Ovis aries: one gene and its partner. The protein of the gene in region 1 interacts with the protein of each later gene in a pairwise test. Links are inferred from orthologs where the notes say so. Each region holds a gene or a part of one and is shown on either strand. Other genes may lie near its edges.

What was found. The genes of interacting proteins can lie anywhere in the genome.
Region 2: the proteins of BYSL (region 1) and DDX17 interact in binary tests that used the Homo sapiens proteins (3 or more experiments, as listed by UniProt). The two-hybrid records come from large-scale screens. The link is inferred for Ovis aries from reciprocal best matches to the Homo sapiens genes BYSL and DDX17.

The regions. Positions count from the first base shown.
Region 1 is NC_056073.1:15,728,879-15,732,525, forward strand, and holds part of BYSL (bystin), read left to right. Parts: intron 1-294; coding exon 295-433; intron 434-692; coding exon 693-826; intron 827-1,402; coding exon 1,403-1,563; intron 1,564-1,670; coding exon 1,671-1,773; intron 1,774-2,251; coding exon 2,252-2,597; 3' UTR 2,598-3,647. UniProt on the Homo sapiens protein: Required for processing of 20S pre-rRNA precursor and biogenesis of 40S ribosomal subunits. May be required for trophinin-dependent regulation of cell adhesion during implantation of human embryos.
Region 2 is NC_056056.1:216,005,259-216,009,351, forward strand, and holds the start of DDX17 (probable ATP-dependent RNA helicase DDX17), read right to left. Parts: upstream 2,881-4,093; 5' UTR 2,569-2,880; coding exon 2,519-2,568; intron 1-2,518. UniProt on the Homo sapiens protein: As an RNA helicase, unwinds RNA and alters RNA structures through ATP binding and hydrolysis.

The sequences.
Region 1 (3,647 bases):
TGCCCAAGGTCACAGAGGGAGCGGAGGAGCCACGACCTAAACCCAGCAGTCGCCTTCAGAGCCCAGGTTCCTCCCCTCCATGCAACTCGAAGCTCCATCCTCAGCTGAATGACTGCCTGGTCCTTTGTGCTCTGCAGGGATTCTTTGCTGGGTGGGTAGGCCCAGCGTGGACCAAGGTCATACATCCCAGCAAGGTTGCAAGTTTATCAGGGCTCTCGAGAGATGGCGTGGGGTGTCCAGAGCTCCCCAGACAGAGAGTGCGGCCCTGCCGCCCCCTCCCTCCTGTTCCCCCAGGCGCACCCTGGCTGACATCATCATGGAGAAGTTAACTGAGAAGCAGACGGAAGTCGAAACGGTCATGTCCGAGGTCTCGGGCTTCCCTGTGCCCCAGCTGGACCCCCGCGTCCTAGAGGTCTACAGAGGGGTTCGGGAGGTAAGGACTGAGAGGAGAGCCATGACGGGACACCCCCACCAGGGCTCTGGGGGCCCACATCTCTTGTAGGCCTGAGGGCAGGCTCGGGGTCCCTCTCCCCGCTTATGACTCTAGGCTCAATTCCCCACTGAAAAATGAGGATGATACTAGAACCTCCTTACAGGATGGTTGTGAGGACTGAGTGAGTTAATGGACGCGAGGAACTCAGATGGGTGCCTGACAAGCAGCGACGAAGATGGTTCTATTCCCTCCTGCGCAGGTGTTGTCTAAGTACCGCAGTGGGAAACTGCCCAAGGCATTTAAGATCATCCCTGCCCTCTCCAACTGGGAGCAGATCCTCTACGTCACGGAGCCTGAGGCCTGGACCGCTGCTGCCATGTACCAGGCCACAAGGTAGAGCTGATGGGAGTGGGGCAGCCTTGGGTCTATAGGGAGGGCTGGGTGTGGGAAGGACAGGCTTTCCCTCTCTTTGTCGTTACATGCCCTCCCAGAGCTCTCTTGTGCTTCTTTATGGCATCACTTCCCCAGCTTTTCCTGTTTCCTGTTCTGGGGCCAAGGTCCTGTTAAGAACGTCCTGTGATGCATTTCTAGGGGAGAGGCGCCTAACTACAGGGACACAACCCTGCAGTGTCAGGGTGGCCTCAAAAGTCTGTGGCTCCCCAGGCATGTGCAGGTCCCTGGTCACAGCAGGGTACAGGGGACCCCTGATAGGGAGGGGAAGGTGAACAGCTGGTTCCTGTCTGTCTGCAGAGCTCTGGCTTGCCTGAAGACAGACAGTGTTCACCCCCATTCAGGTACATCTTGCAGCCCCTCCTGTTCCCTCTCTAATCTGACCTGGGTGCTGCACTGACCCAGCTCCCTCCCTGGACCCTCAGATCTCTTGCATGCAAATATCATCCGCAGTGATATTTGAAGGGCCAGCTCTTTGAACTGACCTGGGATCTTCCTCCTTCTTTCCAAAACCACTAGGATTTTTGCCTCTAACCTAAAGGAACGGATGGCCCAGCGCTTCTATAACCTGGTTCTGCTCCCCCGGGTACGAGATGACATCGCTGAGTACAAACGACTCAACTTCCACCTCTACATGGCCCTGAAGAAGGCCCTGTTCAAACCTGGAGCCTGGTTTAAAGGTGGGGACCCAGGAGGCGATTAAGAAAGGGCAGGGCCGGAGCTCTTGCAGGACCTCCTTTCTCTCCCTCTGGACTGCTAGTGACCGTGCCCCTCTGCCCCTCCCCAGGCATCCTGATCCCGCTGTGCGAGTCGGGCACCTGTACCCTCCGGGAAGCCATCATCGTGGGCAGCATCATCACCAAGTGCTCCATCCCCGTGCTGCACTCCAGGTAGTGTTGCGGGCTCTGCAGGACCATAGATTGGCCCATCTCGACAGCAGAGTCCCAGGACTTGGGGCGGGGTCGGGACACGTGGGGAAGGAGTCAAGCATAAGCCCTTGGGTTTGCAGTTAAGTCGATGGGTATATGATAACTCCACAAGATTGTCAGTCCCGTGGGAACAAGGTCCCAGGGCCTGGCCCATGCTAGGTGCTCAGTAAAGAGTTGAATGAATGAGAGAGGGGGGAACGCAGGAAGAAAGTAGGTTGGGGCAGAGACATTTGGACACACTCTGAGACAGAAGCAGTCTGAGCCAGACAAGGGTATTTGGCGTGAGTCAGCGTAGCCCGGGTAACAGGTCGAGGGAGTGAGGGGAGGGGAGAAGAATGCAGAGATTTTCCTTTAGGGACAGCACAGTTTAGACCCCGTGGCAGGGCCAGGGTAAGGAGCAGCTTTCCCCCAGCGTTTCCCTGCCTCCCTTCCCCACTAGTGCGGCCATGCTGAAAATTGCAGAGATGGAGTACAGTGGGGCCAACAGCATCTTCCTGCGGCTGCTGCTGGACAAGAAGTACGCGCTGCCCTACCGAGTGCTGGACGCCCTGGTCTTCCACTTCCTGGGCTTCCGGACAGAGAAGCGCGAGCTGCCTGTGCTCTGGCACCAGTGCCTCCTGACTTTGGTCCAGCGCTACAAGGCCGACCTGGCCACGGAGCAGAAGGAGGCCCTCCTGGAACTGCTCCGGCTGCAGCCCCACCCCCAGCTGTCCCCAGAAATCAGGCGTGAGTTGCAGAGTGCCATCCCCCGAGATGTAGAAGATGTTCCTGTCACCATGGAGTGAGGACGCAGCACTCGTCCGGGTCTGCGGAGCGTGGAAGGACTCCAGGATCCCTGATGGTGACTGGAGGTGATTCCGAGCCTTGACAGCTGAAGACCCGGATCAGGGCCAAGACAGGTCGCTGGCCTCTGACTCCCCAGTTCTCAACAGGGGGACCTGAGTAGGGCTGGTTCCCTCTTGCGTTCTAGGCCTGCATCCCTGCTCAGTTCTGAGACCGGACTTGAGGTCCCACAGCCCAGCACTCCCGGGTCCCAGCTAGGGTTGGAATGGGTACTTCCTCTCAGGCTGGTGTCAGGTCACCGGGAGGTGGATAAAGACAAAAGGCAGGTATTTATTGAACCTCAGTGTTTTGATGTGATGGATGGAGATCTTTGCTATCCTTGTTTCGCTGGAAGCAAGCACTGCTTCGCTGGAGGCGGGCACTGCTTTCCCCTCATGCGTAGCAGTGGATTCTTACCTATTTACATGGGAGCCACGTATTTCCCCCACCTTATTCTTCTTCTCTAGGCTGTACCCACCCTGCCAGCCCCTAGAGGGCACAGCCTTTGCCTTCCCCTGACACAAGCTACTTGGGGAGAATACCAGCAACCAGGAGGTTGTTCAAACACGAGAAGGTCTCAGATTGGTTGCAAGAGCTAGAAGAAAGCACCTAGAGGAAGGTGGAAATTCAGGATGAGAAAGGTCAGACCCAGGGTCACCACCAGACCAGTTCCCTTTCTAACTTTCTTAGCCAATGAAAGCGTTCAACCAGGGGTTGGCAAATCAGGGTTGTGTATGCCTGTTTTCTTACAGTCCATGAGAGAAAAATGATTTTTTACATTTTAAATGGTTGGTGGGGGAGGCAGAGAAAAAACAGCAGTATTTTGTGATAGGTGAAGATTATATGAAATTTAAGTTTCAGTGTCCCTAAAATAAAGTTTTATTGGGACACAGCCACATCCATCCACTTCCATGTCCTGTGACTACTTTCACTGCCCCTACAGCAGAGACCAGTGCAGCCTGGCTAGAACCCTGTTACTTGCTTTTGCAAATATGAGTTTGTTCCAACCTAAT
Region 2 (4,093 bases), on another chromosome or scaffold:
ACCAAGACATATCATCCTTCTCTAAAGATATATTGTAATTTGAAACATGGGATTCTTAAAAAAATACACTTTCTACCACCTTTATAAGGTTGACTACAATATCCAATAGAGCCTTTCCTCTTGTAGAACCTGAGTGCATTTGTATAATCATTTAAATATCCATATATCCTAACCCCTTGCATACTATGCTGCTCCTTAATGTTTTTGAGTATTAATTTTGATTTGCAATAAATGCCAGTTTTCAAAGATTTACACATTAACATGCAGAATCATGTACAATGCATTTGGACTGTACATGTATATACACTACCTCACTCAGTCCCCTTTCAAAATAATCCACTTCAGCTCTGTACATTTAAGAACAAAAGAATAGCAATTCAAATAACAAAAGAAATCTCATAGTAAAGGTGGAGTTAGGGCACAGACTTTACGAAAGTGCCATTTTGTTTGAAACATTATTTAAGTCTTTTCTTAATATCTGATACTTAAGAGTCAATATGGGATAAACTAAGTATGGATCAGCAATTCACTTTTTCTGCCTTTCAGATAATAAACCTTTTCTTATTAAAGCATATATATGGTAAATATAAAACATCCATGGTAAAGAAATAATATTATCAGTATTTTGATAGCTTCTATGTGCCTATCTCAAGTTTAGAATCCCCATCATACCAATGAGTACCTCGAATTTTAGCCATTCCCTTGTATTCTGGTCTTGTCATCTGTTAGTTTACTTACGTTATCCTTCTAGGACACCTTGTATTTTTACTTAATATTATGTTTGTGAATCATACACGCTGATATAAATTTTTCTTTTTCACTGCTGTACTGTATTCTATGGGACGAATTTATCCAGACATTTGAACTGTTTCTAATATTCTGTCATAAACAACACTGTTATAAACATGGATACCAAAGTACATGTACAAGGGTTTTTCTAGGCCTATGAGTCTAGGGTATAAAGCTTGAGAGGAATTCTGGGTCATTTTCATTTTACTAGGAAACATTAAGTTCTTTTTCCTAAGTGGCTGTATTGAAATTCATTATAAATTTGGCTATACTGTGAAACACTAAGCAAACATTCCACTTATAGTCTTCCGAATTTAAAGCTAAAAGTATTTCCTTTCTGAACACAGTGTAAGTCAAAATAATCCTTTTTATTTAATAAGTGAAAGACGCTCAGTCGTGTCCCACGCTGCAATCCCATGGACTATACAGTCCACGGAATTCTCCAGGCCAGAATACTGGAGTGCTAGCCTTTCCCTTCTCCAGGGGACCTTCCCAAGCTAGGGATTGAACCCAGGTCTCCCGCATTGCAGACGGATTCTTTACCAGCTGAGCCACAGTAAATCAAATAATTGAGAAGCGTGTAGGACTATTAGGTCTCGTAGTTATGTATTTGAACCACAAAAGACAAAAATGTTTGGAGAAAACAGCTTTAACAGGATGCCTACTACAGAGAGACAATTACAAACACTATCTCAATTCTGGGGAACAATGCAATTACTATCCCCATCTTCGGAAGAGAAAATCTGCTCACAAAGGTTCAGGATCTTGCCCAAGGTCACACACACACAATCTATATATATTAAGACGTGGCGTCCCCAAAATTTTTATCCATAGATAAAACTTTTTTTAAAGCGACTTTTTCGATTAAGAGGAACCTTAAGATTTGAATCTCAGTATCTGGGAGGACTTCACGTTTAATCCTGTTAACTTCCAACCCAGTAACCGTGGCATTACTAGATCAAAAAATTTCAAGTTAGACCAAGATGGTTCAGGCCAATTAGAAAAGAAAAAAGAAACGTTAAAACAAACAAAAAACTCCTCCCTCCCGCCAAACGACGGTTTTAGACAGCAAATATCAGCAAACGTCGCTGGTATTCCAGTGTGCTTCCTTCGAGTTAAAGTACAACTAAACGTAATTTTTAAATATTTTAAAATCTGCAAGTCCGCTTCTTAAAAGTCTCTAGTTTCGAACCAGGTTTCCAGTTCCATAAACAGGGAAGCCATTTGCCGTTAAAAGACTTTCCCAGGGTGAACTCGGAGACCTCATCCTTCTCTCTCAGCAAGAACATCCGCATTTCACGATGAACACTAGCTCTGGAGAGATCAAATGACTTGCTCAAATCCGCCGGGCTCGAACGCCGGGAAACTGAGGAGGCCCGGGCTGGGTCGGCCGCTTCCAGAGCTCCCCTCCTGCTGCCTGTGGGGCTGAGGCTCGGGCGCGCCGCGCCACGACGACCGTCCGCAAGCAGGGGCTGGGGCGTCGCCAAGCCGCCGCCCCCTCCCCCCACCGCCCCGCCAGCGACCCGGGGGCCCAGGCCCACATGAGGCCCGCGCCCTAAACTGCTATTAAGTCCCGGATCGCCTCGCCTCCCAGTAGGGAGCTTCGCTCCTAGGCCCGCAGTCAGCTCCCCAGTTTTCCGCTTGACCGCAGGCTGCGGTCTCCTCAGGAAGCAACCTCCTCCCCGCCCCCCGCGCACACAAGGCCCTTCCTCTCCTCCTCCCCCCTTACCCTCCACGGTCACGATCCCGGTCCCGGTCCCCAAAGCCGCCTCCGCGCATGGTCCCAAACGGATAGAGATCTGGGAGCGGGGCACGGATGGCCGGGCTCGGGAGGGCCTGCGGCTCCGGTCTGGTGACGACCGATGGCGGCGGCGCCTCCGCTGTTGGGGCGGCGGCAGGCGCGGCGCTCTCTCGCTCCGACGCGCTGTCTCCCGTCGCAGACGCCACCGTCGCCGCCTCTCTCGTCGGAGACGGGAGCAAAACACAGAGAATCGGGGTTATAAAAGCAACGGGTAGGTTTGGCTACGCTCAAACCCGGCAGTGCCGCGGCTTAGGCGTCTCCTTCCCTTCCCAGCGACTGCACAAAATGGCGGCCGGCGCTGAGACTGCTCCAGCTTAACGCTACGTACGTCGGAGCCGATACGTAAACAGCGTCTCGGAATAGCCCGAGGGCTTCGCGAAGTACTATGGGTATTCTTGAAGCGTTTTACGTCAATTGCGGAGACGGATGCACTTCGCGGTCTGTAGCAGAAAAACAAAGTACGGATTGGGCGTAGAGTTCTCGCGCCTCCTGAACCAGAACTAGGGGTGGGGAGGGGAGGGGGAGAGCGACGTAACATTCTTGGCGTCGTTAGCCGGCCCACTATTGCGAAGATGCGCAGTGTACGTAACACATTCTGTTTAGAGAATAGAGGATTTTGCCGGGTTCCGACGCGAGACGAAATCAGGGCCTGCTCGTACATATCGGTGTGCAGAGACAATAACCGTCCTCCATATTGCAGGCGTCAACTTTCAGGGTTTCTAGGTGCTAAAATCCGAGGACCGTCTTCAGGGACCCTGGCCGGCGCTCCTAGACGGTCTTGGCCAGCCCTCTGGTCTCGTCGCCCTGGACCCGGCGAGACTGACCGCACGCCCCGGCGCCATTTCCTATCGGTTGCCGCTCAGCGCTGTCGCCGGCGGCCATGATGGAGGCGCCTGGTCCGTTCTTAGGGGGAGTTGGTCAGGCGCCGAGGTCCCAGCTGAATTAGACCGCTATCCTACGCTTCTTTCACAGGAAGTGCATTTTGTGAACAGAATATTTACATTGTAACCGGCTGGACACGGTTGACTAACAAAGAGCTGAAGTGTGGGTAGAGCCCCTCTTTTAAGGTAGACACTGAGGCCCCTGGGCCGGCTTTAAATGGCTCTGCCTCAGAAGACCCGTTACTGGCTCTTCGCGCTCTCCCCAGAGGAAAAGATTTAGTTTAAAAGCGGTGGTCTTCAGGTACTGAAAAGGTGAAGGCATAAGTACGTGTTTTTAAACAGGAAACAGGCTAGACTGCCTTCTCTGTCAATTCCATCTAAGCTGACCTCCTTCTCCCTGCTTCCTTCTCTTTCCAATTTCACTTTTAAAGTCTCACAAGCTTGGCCAGACGGCGTCACAGGATTGTCAGCTGCTACGGCCCTTGCGGAGTAGCTTATTGAACGATTCTTATTTCTACAGGTGGTAAAGCCCCCATTTGGGGGGTTGAGTGGGGTCTCCTACTCTTCTGAGTGATTTCCCAAATTGTTAGAGAAGTAGCATAAGAAAAGGGCTTCCCAGGTG